Linked DNA regions of Canis lupus familiaris. Each later gene encodes a partner of the first gene's protein in a complex. Links are inferred from orthologs where the notes say so. Each region holds a gene or a part of one and is shown in the gene's direction. Other genes may lie near its edges.

Region 1 (7,995 bases):
AACAAAAGTACACCTCTACAGTGTCCATGATGTGGATGGCGCCCCCTAGGCCTGTGCAGTGCACAGCCTTCATCATCCCACACAGCAGCCCTGTGTCCCACTGGGTTGGGATGTGCAGCTTTCCTACAAGGATCAGAGTGAGACCTCAGGGAAAATGGAGAAACAGAAGCAGAATTAGAACTTGTCAGTTTGTTCAGCTGTCCTCGGGGTGAAGTAGGCCAGGAAGAAGGAAGAAAGCAAAATTGCATTTACTGAGCTAGTGGGTCCTTTTACGCCAACAAACTAAACAAACACCTACAACGGTCCCTAGAGGGGTGACTATGAGCCCTCTTGCAGGTGAAGACATTGAGGCTCAGAGAAGTCAAGTCACATGTGAGGCAGAAGGGAAGCTGGATTTGACTCAGAGCTGTGCTCTTAGCCACCCCAGTGACTTAGGGAGCAGCTGGCCACATGCATTGAGACAGAAATGCTGTGCTGGGAAATCACCATCGGAAAATACATCTAGTTAAGGGGGAGATGGCTTTGTTCTTGAAGATGTCCGTTGAACCATTATTTAGAAAAGTGGAAGCCAAAAGCAGACATCTGTGGGCTGCCCTGGGAAGGTCTGGAAAAGCCAAGGGCACCCCCAGCAAACATCACTGATTGGGGAGGAAGCAGCAGGTAGAGGTGGTTCTGTGCTGTGACAACAGTGGCAGTCTCTGTAGGTGTGGGTGGCCAGGGCTAGAGAGGGAAGGCAAGAACAGAAAACAGTGAGCGTCTGAGGGCAGGACCAGGCCTAAGCCCTGGCAGTTGCCTGGAGCTCAGCATCGTCTGAGCACAGAGCAAATGTCCTGGGGTCAGCTGAACTCAGGAGGGATAGGAGAAAAGAGGGGACAAGGGAAAACTTGGGCCACAGGGCCTTGTAGAAACAGTGGTATTGGTGCCAATAGGATAAATCCAAGAGATGAGGAGTCAAGCTAGGCCAGACAGGGACACTGATAGGGACTCAGCCACCCTTCTGGAAAGCAGAGTCTGAGATGGCTCTGAGTTGTAGTCAGAGAAGCAGGGAGGAGGTGGGGCTCCCTGAAAGTGTATCACTAACTTCAGAGGTCCCGCTGCAGGTCTGTGAGTCTCAGGTGTGTGCCCTGGGCTAGTTCCAGCCTTGCCAAGGCCCTTGTCTCGTCTGTGAAGTGAGGAGCTGCTGGCAGAGAGTCTGTGCCTTGAGTCAGAGGAAACACTAGCTCTCAGATTGGCTCTAGGGAGGCTGAACTGTGGGGCTCCTGGTGTCCCTGGGCTCAGACCTTCCTCTGCCCACAGGACATCAATGATAACCTGCCCATCTTCAACCAGTCTATCTACTCCTTCTCGGTGAAGGAGAGGGACCCAGGTAAGTCCTTCCTGGGCCAGGCCGGGCACTGGGGCTGGGGCCCAGTGAGGCATCTGAGCCCTCCCTGCGGCTCTTGGGGGTGGTAAGGGGAGAGGAAGCCTCCAGCGGCTGGGCCAGGGGTCTCTGTGAAGTCTGCCCTCGTCCACAGGAAAGCTGGTAGGCGTGGTGAAGGCCTGGGATGCGGATCAGACAGAAGCCAACAACCGTATCAGCTTCAGCCTGACAGGGAGTGGTGCCAACAACTTCCTGCTCCAGGGCTTGGTGCTAGAGTCTGGGGGCGCTGGGGGGTTCCTTCGGCTGCCTGCAGATGTGAGCCTGGACTACGAGACACAGGCCTCCTTCTATCTGACACTGAGTGCCGAGAACCCAGATCCCCATGGGAAAGAGGCCAGCGCACAAGTCCTTGTGGCTGTGGAGGACGTGAATGACGAACCACCCACTCTGGACTCAGCCTCGCTCCAGGGCATCCGTGTAGCTGAGAATGGCTCACAGCACGGCCTGGTGGCTGAGCTGGTTCCCCAGGATGTGGATACCATGGCTCAGCTGGAGGTACAGCTTGTGAATACCATCTGTACCAAGGCCGGGGTCAACGTGGGCAGCCTGTGCTACGGCTGGTTCTCTGTGCTGGCCAATGGCTCTGTGGTCATCAATCAGAGTGAGGCCATTGACTACGAGACCTGTGACCTGGTCACGCTGGTTGTTCGGGCCAATGACCTCACAACGGACCCCCGCTTCCAGGCCTACAGTGACAACGGTGAGGCGGCCTGGCCTGTGGGATTGGGTGGGCTGCAGGATAGGGACCGTGGGCTGGGGCCCCAGTCCTTACCAGCTGTGTCACTGGGAAAGTTGTGACATCTCCTTAAGCTTCTGTCCCCATTTTTCCGGTGGCGTTGGGCAGTAGGCTGGCAGCAAAGGCAAAACAAAAACACACATGTAAAGTGTTTAGTGAGGTGCCTGGCACAGAGTCAGTGCTTCACTGATGCTACTGTCTTGTGAGGGAGGGTAAAGAGGAAAGTACACTTCACAGTGCTCACATCCCACCTCGGATTGTGATGGCTAGAATAACCACATTAACAGCGAGCCTATTTTGAGAATTTCCTATAGCCGAGAGCTATGCCAGACACCTTAAAAGCATTCTTTATGTTACTCCCACGCAATCGGTGGGGTAGATGATCCCTATCCAATATTATAAATGAGGAAACTGAGGCACACAGTGGCCAGCTCAATAACCTAGCTTACATGCTAGCAATGTCAGTATCATGCTGTGGTCAGGTGGGATATGCCCCAGCCAGGCTCTGCCTGGCCTGATGCTCTTACTGGATGATCTTGGAATAGGTGCTTACCCTCTCTGAGGTATGGGGAGGATATTCCCTGCCACAAAGTCCAGTGGAAACTGAGCGGGCACCCCAGGCCAGGAGCAGGGCTGGGGACAGTGCATGGGAGACGTTGGGAGGGAGGCAGGGGGGAGCATGGCAAGTCCCCAGGCTTTTTGGTTGGGCCTAGAGGCCAGAACCAGCCAAACTTGTTTTCTAGGAAGCCTCGCTATCACCATTGAGGACACGAATGACAATGCCCCCTATTTTCTGCCTGACAATAAGACTTTTGGTAAGTGGGCCAGGCTTTCCCTCCATACTCTGCCAGGATTTCCTTGGGCAGCTCCCATAGACCCTCCTCAGGCCCCAAGTGGACTATTAGAAAGGAAGGCCTCTTTTTCGCTTCTCAGCCTTTTGGCTAAGATCAAGTGTAGAAAGGAAGACCTCTAATCTCGCCTCTCCCCCAGGGTTTCAACAGGAGAGACCTGATTTTTTTTTTTTAAAGATTTTATTTATTTATTCGTGAAAAACACAGAGAGAGAGAAAGGGAGGCAGAGACACAGGCAGAGGGAGAAGCAGAGGGAGAAGCAGGCTCTGTGCAGGGAGCCCGATGTGGGACTCGATCCCGGGACTCCAGGATCATGCCCTGAGCCAAAGGCAGGCGCCAAACCGCTGCGCCACCCAGGGATCCCCGAGACCTGATTTTTCACCACAGTTCGGCCCCAACTCTGAGCCAGCTTCTCCCTCTCTGGGCCTCAGTTTCCCCGTCTGCACAGTAGGAGTGGCTGAGCTGCTAACTGATGGCTCAGAGGCTGTTATAATGGGGGATTTTGATGGTAGAGGGGCTGCGGGAAGATATGGGGAGACTGCGTCCTGAGCTGGGCTTGTGATCAGTTCTCAGCCAGGTGGGCACTGGCACTAACCCCACTGACTCCACTGATCCCACTGACCCCTTCTTGTCCACACTTGTAGTTATCATCCCAGAACTTGTGGTGCCCAACCAGCAGGTGGCTTCTGTCCAGGTAAGCCCATCATATTAGTCCCAGGAGACACAGGACCAAGGCTTTCAGGCCTTTCACTGTCCCTCCAAATGTTTTAACACTACAAAGGAAATTTATTGGCTCCAACCTATGAAAAGAAAGCCCCAGAATGGAGACAAACACTTGCCTAATTGATAGGGTTAAACTTCATTAATTGTTACTTGGTTGTCATAAAAATTTCATGACTATAAAAACTATTTGCAGGCTAGATTTTTTTTTCGCTACACCACAATTCCAAGTCATACAGACAAATCATAACAATTGTAAATTAAATGAGTTCCTTGCTGATAAATAATTTCCAGAGTAAAACTATAAAAATACTTTTAGTGTTCTATGGTGTCAGACGTGGGTGTGTTTGTTAGAGGGCCCTGGCCGCACCACAGGGGCGGGCAAGGCCTCCCACACAGCCCAGGTGCCCGGGCCTGGTGGGGCCTCTTACTGACCTGGGAGCTGCCTGCCTTTCTGGGGCTCAGTTTGCCTCCGGGAAGAAGCTGTCAGTGAGCCAGGGGGCAGTGATATTGGAAGGTGAAGAGGTCGGGTGGCATGTGTGTGCCCCTCCCTGTGTTGTGGGAAGAGCACAGGTACTGAAGATGGATGGACTGGCCTTCCTCCACTTCTAGCTAAGTCTTCAGCAGGATGGGGTCTCCCTCCGAGCCCCAGTTTCCTCTCATCACATGGGTAGAGTAATTCTCTCTCCAGGTTCTTTCAAGCCTTGAAGAGTCTTCCAATCTTCAGCGAATTACATTTTAATGTCATGAGTCTGGCCATAGCTTGGAGCCATTTTCTTTACATGGACTCATTCTTGAAACTTAAACAACAGCTTTGGCCTCATTCTGAACAGTAGACTCACGGGTCTGTATCTTGGCTATATTTTTCCCTAAAAGGCACTAGAATGTGTAAGAATGTTTGTGCCCTCTCCTCTAATCATTTCATGGTCCCCTAGGGGAATTTGTACTCATTGTCAGTAAACACTGAAATGAGGGATTTAGGGGAAGGCCAGGCACACAGTAGGTGCTCAGGAAATTTGAATGTCCCTAAGTGTGTACATGTGTGTGCCTGTGTGTGTGTGTGTGTGTGTGTGTGTGTGTTGGCAGTGGGTGGGGGGAAGCAAGGCAGGATTTCCACATCAGATGGACTTTGGACCGTGACCCGTTGAGTTAGGGGCCCAAAGGCAGAGACTTGTTCAAATCTGGATTTGCAGAGCAAGCACGCCGTTTAAGGTGTTTGCTAAGTTGAGGTGGCCTAGAAGAGGCTGATAGAGATACTGGGACCAGACTCCTGGGCCCTCTCAGCTGCTGATTCCTGCTGGGGAAGAAAGGGGGCCTGGCCTGACCCCTAGGTATTGTCTATTCTTTCCCCCAGGCCAGAGACAATGACTCAGGGAACAACGGGGCCATTCTGTTCTCCATCCTCCAAGTGGATTTCATCGCTAAGGATGGGGCCATGATCCCTTTCCAGGGCTTCTTCCGGGTCTCTACCTCCTCAGAAGCCAACTTGTTCATTGGCAACATTGAGTAACTGTGGGGAGCCCCTGGATGGGGGGCAGTAAGGGGGCCTCAAGACAGTTCCCACCCTGGGAGGTATATAAGTAGGTTCCAGAGGACTCCAGCTTGAGTTCCAAGACTCAGTTGTGCTCTTCTACCTTCAATAGGCTGGTGACCAACCTTGATTCCACTCTCCAAGGCACCTACCAAGTGACAGTCCAGGCCCAGGACAGACCTTCAGTGGGTCCTGCTCAGGAAGCCAAAATCTCCCTGAATGTGAGTGTTGGGCCCTGCCTCTAGACCCCAATACTCTCTGCCAGCTCCTGCATCCTCTGTGTCTCATCTTCCCCATGTCTTCCTCCTGTAGCTCTTCACTGTGGACCAAAGTTACCGTGTGAGGTTGCAGTTTTCCATGAACAAGGAGGAGGTGGGCGCCAACATGGAGGAGATTACTGCGTAGGTTTGGGGCGCCCAGAGGGGGCTGTGGGGAAGAACAGGGCCTGGGAGTATGGACGGGATGTATGTGAAAACTGTCCTTGACCTACATTTGATTTTGTCCCTGTCTTTGGTCTGTACCTATACCTGCATTTCCTCTCTCAATTTCCTAGGAGCCTAGGGTTGGCTGGGCAGAGAGAGGCCTAAATAGGGCTGCGATGTATAGTTGGGAAGGCTGTGCACTGCACAAGGGCACTCTGCTTGCTAAGTCGTAAACCCAACCCCAGAGGAAGGGGCTGCCTTGTCTAATTTGCACAGAGGTGCTACCTGAATAGCCAATGAAGCTGTCCAGAGGAGGTGCCCCTTTTTAATTCACACAATTCCTAATTCCACTGGTAGAGTCCTGGCCATAGGCCTAGACTAAGGCCCCTACCCCATGCTTCTGTGACATCTTCCCCCTTTGCAGGGCTCTTGTTCAGGCCACCAGGACTACTGTCTACGTTGTGAGCATTCAGGACATAGAATCCACAGTTCGGTGAGTGTCCACAGGCCCAGTGGTTGGAGTGAGGACAAGAAGCAGAAACATGAGGGGCCTCCTGGGTGGTTCTGGACTGTTTACCCTTTACCCCTGCCCCATTCCAGAGCCCGGGGACGCTCTTACCTTGATGCCTATTTTGTCTTCTCAAATGGGTCAGCCCTGACACTTGATGAGCTGAGTGTGTGAGTGGGGCTCCCCTTGGGGTGGGCAGGAAGCTTAGGGAATGCCAATGTCCCTCGGGTCTGAGTGAGGTTCTATGGCCAGGATGATCCGGAATGACCAGGACTCACTGACGCAGCTGCTGCAGCTGGGGCTGGTGGTGCTGGTGAGTGTCAGCATGGCGGAGCTAATGCGGGAGTGGGGGGTGGGGAATGCTCACACCCAACCTCCTTCATACTTCTCCAGGGCTCCCAGGAGAGCCAGGAGTCGGACCTGCCAAAGCTGCTCACCAACGTTATCATAGGATTGGGAGTGGCTTTGCTGCTGATCATCGTGATTATGACCACGGCGCTCATGTGTACCCGGAAGAGGTACTGCTCCCATCTCCCCCTGTATCTCCAACTCCGCCTTTCCCACCATCTAAGACATCTGGCAGGTAGAGAAAGCTTGGGTTTAGGCACCTGGTATATCTGAATTTAATCCCCAGAGACCTGTGGTGACCACTTGAATAGGTCATCTCCCCTCCCTGAGCCTCAAGTTCCTTTGCAGAATGAATGTAACACTAGATTCCTCAAGGCACACAAGGAAGCAGTGTGCATCCTGCCACCAGAAAGATATCTGGCACATACTGTGCATTTCATAAATACTGTCTTTTCCCCTTTCCAATATGTTTGGAGTCAGCAGCCACATCTGGATTTGACTCCAGGCCTTGCCACCGGCCAGCTGTGGCTTTTGGCAAACCATTTTCTTTCTCTGGCTATTACTTGTACCCTCTGTAAAATGGTACTAACACTCACACCTGCCAGGGTGTTGTGAAGTCACACTCTCAGTGCCTGCACTGGGCGCACAGTGGGTGTCCAGAGAAAGTAATGACTCCCCCACCCCCTGGTTCTCTGCAGCTACCGCCGGAAGCTTCGGGCTACGAAGGCTGCCAAGGAGGCCCGGAGGACAGCACCAGGGGTGATGCCCTCAGTCTCTGCCATCCCTGGGACTAACATGTACACCACTGAGCGGTGAGCAGGGGTCAAAGGGTGGGTGAGAGTCTCCATGGAGTGTCTCAGGTTCATAAGTGCTTGAATTAGGCCTTCTCTCCAGGGCCAACCCTGTGCTGAACCTCCCCACGAAGGACCTGAGCTTCGAGTCCCAATCCTCTTCCAGTGACCTAGACCACATGAGGTGAGCAGTGATTCTCACAGCCACTCTGGTCAGTGGTGGTGGTGATGGTGGTAGAGGTGGTGGTGGTGATGGTGGAGGTGATGGTGACAGAGGTGGAGATGGTCATCGTGGTGATGGTGGTGGAGGCAATGGTGGTTCAAGGCCATAGACAGGGAAGACTCGGGCTACTAACCATCGAGCTCCATCATCTCTCCCACAGTCTCAATTCCCTGGATGACAACTCTGTCGATGTGGAAAAGAACGAGGAGAAAATCAAGGCAAGATGGGGGATGAGTTGGTGCCTGGGGCTTCTTGACTTGGGGTCCTTCTTCAAAGGAGTGGGGTTCAGGACAGAGCTGAAGGACCTGCTTCTGACACTGGCATGTCTCCACACCAGGCCATGGGAAGCCCATGGCTTTGGAATGGGGTCTAATTTTTGCTCTTCTACTCATTCACTGTGACTCCGGGTGGGTGACTTCCTTCTGGTTCTCAGTTTTCTCATCTG
Region 2 (8,095 bases), on another chromosome or scaffold:
TCCTGTCCTGGATCTTCTAGGATGCATCTTCACCCCCTCATTCTCTCTCCCTACAGATTTCAATCCGTTTCCCTCTCTGGTGACCTCTCCAACAAGGGTCTCCCACTCTCCCCCTACTCTGTGCCCCTGTTCCCTCCAGCTCGCCACCCTGGGTGCCTTCCATCCTGCCTAGCTTGGGACTCCCTTCTCCCGGCTGTCTCTGGCCTCTTTTTCCTTGGCGCCCCTCTCCCTCTCCCCTCTCCCCTGCCCTCCCCGCAAACCTCCTTTTCCTCCCTGTCTAGAACCTCCCGTCACCGTTCCCCCTACCCCGCGGCCCCCTCCAGCCCACTGCCCTGGCACCGAGAGATGGCACCCGCAGGGACCGGCCGCCGGCTCACCCCGGGGCAGCCAGACGCAGGCCAGCAGCAGGCAGAGCGCCGGCGAGGGCGCGCCCAGGCCCGGGGACCCCATGGGGCGCGCGGAAGCTGCGAAGCGGGAGCGCACGGCCGGCCGGCCGAGTCCCTCGCCTGCAAAGGCCGGGTCACCCTCCGCTCGGCGCCTCGGCTCGCTCTCTGGCCCCGGGCCTCCGCCCCGCCTCCCAGGCGCTTGGCTCCTCCCCGAGCTGGAGCGACTGGATGCCCAGCTGCCCGGCTCCGCCTGTGGCTGCCCCTCCCCAGAGGGGGCCGCATTCAGATCAGTGGGCTCCAAGTACCCCGGGGGAGCAAGGAGGTAGCCAGTGCACCCCGCAGCATCCCTTACTCCTCAAAGATCCCCATCTTAGAAACCTGGGTCTCTGAAGGCCCTTCCGTTGGACACCCACGATGCTTGTGGAAGTCTGGTCTTCCACTCTCCTTTCACAGAGGCCCCGGGGCCTGCCACTCAGTGGGCAGTTGTCAGTGGCAGAACCAAAGCTCAAGCCCGCAGAATCCGGGCCTGTGCTCCCACCACTCACTACTACAGCTTCCTGGGGCTCCAAGTCCCTACTCTACCTCCAGTTTTGAGCACCTCTAGGGAACGGATAGTGACTTAGTCCTCTTTATGTCCAGCACTAGTTCAGGCCCCAGCTGAGAAAATATTGACTGATGATAGAAGTGCGTCACACTTCCATATTACCGCTCCCCTCGAGACCAGACTTTAACAACAACAGCAACAACAAAATGAAAAAATAACCAAAAACAAATGAAAAAACAAAACACCGATTTAATTTTGTGAACAAGATATACTCCCTGTCCAGGAGGAATGTTAATGCTAATGCTAGAACTGTGGGATTAGGAGCCTTGGGAACCTGTGCAGCATTCTCTTGGCCAATAGTTATTGGAACACCAACCAGATGCAAGTCTTGCAGGTGATGATGATGATGGTGGTAGTGATGATGGCAGGTGGTCCCAGGAGACCCCTAGGCAGGGATATAGACTTGGGATGCATTCATTCATCCATTCATTCATCCACTCAACAAATTTATTGAGCATCTATTTCTTACCACACAGTGTTCTGGGAATATAGTGATAAATAAAGCATACAGCCCCTCACAGAGTATTTGAAGCCATGGGCATAGATGAGAGGAAGGGGAGGGAGCTAAGGATGGAAACGTAACAAGCCCTGGTTAGAGAACAGGTGAGGGCAGAGGAAGCTTGAAAAGGAACATTCATAGGAGAGGAAAGCTCTGACTCAGTCCCCACAACCAAGAGGGGAAGCATTTAAAGAAGGAGAGAGTCTATGAGGGTGGTGGTCATGGAAAACGATTGAAGTGGCCCATGGATTGCATCCCCTTTGAAAGGCCATTTGCCACTCTGCCTGGATTCCAACTATGAAATAACAGCCACACGACTTAGTTAAGAGACGCAGAACATCAACAAAGGAAGTTGGAGGGGAACATATTTGAGTGTCTTTCCTGGACCTTTGAAAATCCCACAAGTCTTCCCCTTTTATCTCTGACTTAACTAGTTAATACTAAGGTGAGGACATGGATAATATTTCAAGGTTTTTCTCCAGGAAGGATTTACATCCTAAACTAGGTGACAATTTAGTCCCAATAAAAATAAGTCTGTTGGCAAAACTTCAGATACTAGAGATAAGATGAAAAACAGGAGGGTTTTAGGTGTCCCTGAAGTTACAGTTGTAAGTGGTTCACTATTTTGGGTTGCTGTCCATCTCCCTGTCCCCTGCCCCCTGACATGGTGCAAACACCCCCCCCCCCCCGGGTTAAATCCAGGCACAAGCCCCCTGATCAAAGATCCCCACTCTCTCCCATACGCCCCTTTCTTGACCCCCTCTTTCCTCTCAGTCTGTCCCCGACTTGGTTCATCACTGTCTTTACACTCCAGCACTAGACCTAGGAGTTGAACAAACTGGATGAATTGACTCAAATGAACCAGATGGGATCTGAGCCCTGGGTAAAGGTCAGCAGTAAATCAAGATGTCACTGCCAGGCCCTTCCATGTCTCAGTGAGTGTGTGTGTGTGTGTGTGTGTGTGTGGAGTGGGGTGGGGCTAGGCAGGTGGGAGGGGAAGTCAGTTCCGGAGGGATACGGCTACCCCACTGATTCAGGCCTCTGTGAGCGCTTTAGACCCGGCCCCAAGGAATTCGCAGATCAAAGATTTCCTCCTCCGGGGAATTAGCCCGTGGAGAAGGCCATTATAGAGGGTAGGTCGGCTGAGAGAGGGATGCCCGGCAGGGGGTGAAAGCCTCAGGGGCCGAGCCAATGGCCCGCTATCTGCGGATCCAGGGATTATCCCTACCCACCCTTGTGAGAGTCTCAGGACCTCCTCCTACAAAAAAGTCCCAAGCCTCCTCCCCACGTTTCCCGAGATCCTGTCCCCCAACTGCTTGTGTTTGGAGACCCGTCCGAGGGGAGCGCCGGGCCTCGAGTCCGGCCACCGCCGCCGCCACCACCACACACACCCACGCACTCCAGACCCTTCGCTCGGGGTGTCGGTGGGAGGCGACAAGCTTCAGGACAGGTGTCCCGGGCGTCCCAGCAGCCCCGCCCAGGCCCCGCCCAGGCCCCGCCCACCGCGCCAGGCCCCGCCCACCGCGCCAGGCCCCGCCCCCCCGCTCCCGGGCCCGCGGATCTCCGCTGCGGCTCCTGCCGGCTTGGGGCCTCCGGGCGCCCGAAGGAGCGAGTTGTGCGGGCGACGCGGCTCCGCCTGGCCCAGCCATGGACCGGAAGGTGGCTCGAGAATTCCGGCACAAGGTCAGAGCTGCGAGGGGCCCCTAAAGCGTTCAGGACCCCGGAGTCCTGGCTGGGCGGTGGGGGGATGGACGTGCCCCGCGCTACCCTCCCTTTTCTAGCCCGGCCTCAGGGCTGTGGATGGACTGGGACCCCTGTGGGTGGTTTGGTTTCCAGCAGGGATCCCCAGTAAAATAAGGGAGGGGGCAGGAGGACTCCAGGTGTAGGAACCCGTGAACCGATCTCCAAAAAGTATTCTTTCTCCTTGCGCTTCCGAGGGCTGGGGCTTCTCTGGTGTTGGAATTCCTTCCAGCTTGGCCTGAGACAGGAAGCTTCTCTGAAATGCCCCGTAGTGGGCAAATCCCAGCTCCTAGTGCCCCAAGCTCAGGGCTGTTGGAGCATATGCAGAGGATATGGGACAGTGTCTGAGAGGTGGGGATTGGTCGGAAGGGAAAGTGGTCCTCTGTCTCTGTCCTTTGACCTCAGAAAACGAGCTAGAAGCACTTTAGGGAGCCCCCTCCCCATTTCAGGGCATTTCTTAGGGCCTGAGAAGCAGGTGAGGAACTGGTGCTGACCAGGGGGCAGTGGGAGGAAAGAAGGAAGTACAGAGAGTCAGCCAGAGTCTTCAGACAGAGAGCTACAGCTCCCCTGGTGTGTCCCAATAGGAGACCTCAGGGATGGTCCAGGATTCTCAGAGGCTCTCACTGAAAGCTACTGGATTTCACCCAGGGCATTTCCAGAACTGTTTCCAGAGCTGTGCAGGAGCTACTGAGGCCCTGAAGTGAGAGAGGACCACTGGCAGTAACCCCAGTGGACCTCCCCACCAGGACTCAGAATGCTTCAGAGCTCAAGGGTGAAGCCAGGGGTGTCTAGAGCTACCCACAGGCCCTACCTGAGACGACTGTGTGCCCTGAGGCCCTCACAGAGCCCAGAGGGGCAGTGTCTTTAGACCAAGCCAAACCTCTTCTGAGGCCTGAGGAAGCCGAGCTCTGGTAGGCAAGGTCCGGGTGCTTAACCCTTCTCTCCCCACAGAGAGAGGCCCAGGGGAGCCAGAGTAGCCAGCCAATGTGTGGGCCACGGGAGCTAAGTGCCAGGGGGCAGTCATTCATCTAGTAAGTGTATTTTGAGTACCCACTCTGTGCCAGACCTCCTCTGTGCCCTGGAATTGCTGGCTGCACAGGTGAGAGAGGGACCCTACGCTATGGCTGGGTGCTGAGTGTGGGGGTCGAGGTTTGGTGGAGTACAAAAGGGGAAGCTCTACTGCCATGAGTCTCCTAAAAAAAGAGGCCTTGGGGATTTCTAAGAGTGAGAGATGGCTGGAAGTTCAGCAGGAGTTTGGGGACTGGCAAGTAGCAACCGGAGCACGAGACAGGGTTCACCTGTGCATCCTGTTGCACAGGGACACGAGAAGAGAAATTTCAGCTGCTGAGGACATTTGGTGAGTGTAGGTTTCAGGCAACCCACTTTGAAGGAACCCAACCTCTGTCCCCTCCCCCAAGACTCAGGCTTGAATTTCAGTTTCCTGCCCCTGGGCAGAAAGAAGGTAACATCAGGTCCTCATTGGTTTTTTCCCTATGGGTACTAGTCTTTGCCCCTTTTTGGAGAATTACCCCTGGGGTCCGTGGTGTCTGACTGCACCCTGAGGTTAGCCTCTGTTTTTCTTCTCCAGGCCCTGCAGCCTCCAGCGGGCCTCAGGCCTCTGTATTTCCACTGCTCTGCTCTTCCTCATCACAGGAGTCATTACCTATTAATGTCCCTGTGTGTGCAGGCGGGGCAGACACCAGGCTGGGCAAGGCCCTGGGCTGGACTTTGTGCCCTGCTGCTTCCGAGACAGCAGCAGCCTTCCCCTCCCAGGTTGGAGATCACCTAGGAACTGGGGAGAGAGGACAAAGCGGCAGAGGCTACAGCTGGGGGCACGTAGCCATGCTGGGCGAAATTTACTGCTCCTGCCCATTGCTCTCTAGCTGTCCCTCCTTTGGTGTTGCAGAGCACATTTACCCCTTGGGAATGGCTTATGACCTAAATCTTTAGTTGTTGGAGGTAGCATGAAAAGTGGCATATTGTCATGGAATGTGCTGTGTGGCCTCGAGCAAGTTATTAACCTCTCTGTGCCTCTTTGATTTGTTAAATGAGGATAATAATAATATTTAGCTCATAAAGCCCTTGTGAGTGTTGGAGGAGATCTACATGCACGTAGGGAGTTTAGTGAGTCCTCAACGAATGTCTGCTGTTGTTATTATCTGATGTTAGGCAGAACGGGGTCCAATCTCAACCCTGCCACTCACTGCCAGTGAGACCTTGGGCAAGTCATTTAATCTGGGCTATCGTTTCCTCAGCTGTGAGATGAGGTTCACAGTGCTTACCTCAGGGGGTGATTAGGACTAAGTAGGAATTCAAGGACCAGCTACTCAGGACCTATAAGTAACCCTTTGGTCCACAGCCACCTGGAGATTCCTGCTGAGCACCCTGGTGGATGTGCCAGCAGGCTCCAGGCTGGGGAGGAGAGTCTGTTCCTCTGGGCTTATGCAGTTTCCCCAGGACATCCGGCAGCACTTTCATGCCCTTCCCAGCAACAGCCTTGGGCCAGGATACCAAGGAGAAGGAAGGGCAGCATCAGAGACTAAGGCTCTTCCCTAAAGAACCAGCTTTTCAAAAGAAGGAGGCTGCCCCTCTGCTCACTGCACCTGCAGGTTTCAGGAATTTGGTTACTCATTTGCCCAAAAGGGCTTTATTGCCTAGTTAGCAATCATGCATTTATGGATATCCGTGGTTTACCCTGCCCGAGGCCAGCCAGGCACCTGGGGGTAGAAAGAGGGGATAAATGAGGAGGTCAGAAAGAGCCTCTGCCTTCCAGTGTTTTGCTAATCATACATGCATGCATGTCATAAACGTTGACTGAGCTCCTAATATTATGCCCAGCAGTACTCTAATCATTGAACAATAAAACAGAGTCCCTGGCTCCTTAGTCAGGAAGACAGACAGTTAACAAGTAACCCAATGCAAGTATCATATAATGCAAAGTAGTGATAAATGCTATGAAAAAAAATAAACTGAGATGAGAGGATAGAGAGCAACCAGATGCGTCAGAAAGGTCTCCTTGAATCTAGAAAGAAGTAAGGAAGGAGCCTTGGGGGTGTATTTGAAAGAACATTCCAAGAAGAGGGAACAATAACCTGAGGCAAGTGTCTGCTTGCTGGCTTTAGGAACAGCAGGTGGGATGGTGTTTCTGAGAGGAATTATGGATTGAATAGAGTGTGGTGGGGGCTCAGTAGGCCACGGTCAGGACTTTGGGTTTTGTTCTCCAGCGATGGGAAGGCAGCCATGAGGGGATGGCTTTCCGTTTAAAAGGGGTTGTTCTGAGTGCTGGTAGAGAGGAGACTGAGGGGGCCGGGAGCAGAAGGGGGATAGGAGACAGGAGGTGAGGGCTTGGACTAGCATGAGGAGTGGTGAGACCCAGAAAATTCAGGAGAAGATAGATCTGACAGGCTCTGACGGTGGGTGGCTCTGGGTGTGGAGAGAGGCATTGAGAGGGAGTCTACATTTTGGGAGGAGCGTGCTGATGGGGACAAGAGGGGAGATAGCAGAAACCAAGAGTTCCATTTTGAATGTTTTGAGATGCCTGGTCAACCATTGAGCCAGTAGCTATGGGAGTCTGAAGATGGCGGGAAGAAGTCTATCCTGGAGCCTCAGTGCATCCTTGAAGGATAAGTGATCGTTCAAACCCTGGAGACCAATGAGGTCACTTAGGGACATGATGCAAATGAAGAGAAGGCCCAGGACAGAGCCAGGGCACTCCAACCTTTCGAGGAGAGGAAATGGGGAAGGAACAGCAAATGAGATAGGAGAAGCAGAGAAGGAGGGCATGGTGAGCCATGCTGAGCACTGAGTCAAGTGCCACCAGCTAGCTAGCAGGACACAAGTGTCTTAAAAAGATGAAGAATAATAAAACAGGAAAAGAGCAAACCCAGTACTACCCAGGATGCATGCTCTGAAGGCCTGAGAGGAAGTGTGGCTGGATCCATTCATCCCATCCCATCAACATTTTTGGAGGGCCCACAGTCTGCCAGCTGCTGAGAACATAGAGTCTGTATTCATTTATTCCCACTTAGTTTTATTTGACAAACACTGAGAACTACTATTTGCCAGGCACTGTGTCAAGCACTTAATGATTATTAATTTAAATAATAATAAAAAAACCCCAGTGATTAATCCCTCACAGAAGGATGAAATCCTATGGAGGAGGTATGTTTATACCCATTTTACAGATGAGGAGAATGGAGCACAGAGAAGTACAGACCCAGGTGAGGAAGGGGCTTGTTGGCCTCACCCTGTGCACTCTTCCCGGGCCTGTGTCTGGGCCACACACAGATTAGCAGGGAGACGAGAGGGTAAAGAGAGGTGGAGAAGGCTGCAGAGTGGGTCTGGGGGCACCGAGGAAGAGATGCAGCGTACATTTCAGAACCCTTGAGATCTGAGAGCCCTGGGCACCGTCTGAAGTCCTTTGTCTATATTCACTTATTTAATCCCCACAACAGCCTGAGGAGGGCAGATGTTCATCGAGTGGAACAACATGCATTATTTAATTTGTTCTTGCTCTCTTTCTCGCTCTTTGGCTGGGTGCACACGTGGAGTTGTATTTGCATGAGCTGAATGTTGTTTGCTCCCCCTGTGCAGCTGTCCTGAAGGGGTCAGTCCATAGGGAGGAATGCCAGGGAATGAGGCTGGAAAGGGCCCAAGGCTCAACCCAGAGTTTTTGCCTCAAGGGCCCCAGACAAGGACCCTGAATCCCAATCCCCCTCATACAGACCGGTAGTAGAGGGCCAGTTGAGCATCAGCCCGAGAATGCTGATGCAGGTTGGAGGGGACCTGACACAAGGTGGGCGGGGAAGGAGGGATTGAGTGGTAAAATCTTTGCAGATCGTGGGCTCCTTTAGAGTTTCTTTGCCC

Evidence for each region.
Region 2: CDHR2 (region 1) and USH1C share a complex: the UniProt entries of both Homo sapiens proteins name them as parts of the IMAC/intermicrovillar adhesion complex. The link is inferred for Canis lupus familiaris from reciprocal best matches to the Homo sapiens genes CDHR2 and USH1C.

What each region holds. Positions count from the first base shown.
Region 1 is NC_049225.1:37,631,367-37,639,361, reverse strand, and holds part of CDHR2 (cadherin-related family member 2), read left to right. Parts: intron 1-1,296; coding exon 1,297-1,366; intron 1,367-1,514; coding exon 1,515-2,120; intron 2,121-2,899; coding exon 2,900-2,971; intron 2,972-3,651; coding exon 3,652-3,701; intron 3,702-5,081; coding exon 5,082-5,233; intron 5,234-5,370; coding exon 5,371-5,479; intron 5,480-5,570; coding exon 5,571-5,659; intron 5,660-6,104; coding exon 6,105-6,173; intron 6,174-6,280; coding exon 6,281-6,358; intron 6,359-6,440; coding exon 6,441-6,501; intron 6,502-6,581; coding exon 6,582-6,706; intron 6,707-7,234; coding exon 7,235-7,348; intron 7,349-7,430; coding exon 7,431-7,511; intron 7,512-7,710; coding exon 7,711-7,768; intron 7,769-7,995. UniProt on the Homo sapiens protein: Intermicrovillar adhesion molecule that forms, via its extracellular domain, calcium-dependent heterophilic complexes with CDHR5 on adjacent microvilli. Thereby, controls the packing of microvilli at the apical membrane of epithelial cells.
Region 2 is NC_049242.1:40,759,559-40,767,653, reverse strand, and holds the start of USH1C (harmonin), read left to right. Parts: upstream 1-3,019; 5' UTR 3,020-3,136; coding exon 3,137-3,172; intron 3,173-8,095. UniProt on the Homo sapiens protein: Anchoring/scaffolding protein that is a part of the functional network formed by USH1C, USH1G, CDH23 and MYO7A that mediates mechanotransduction in cochlear hair cells. Required for normal development and maintenance of cochlear hair cell bundles.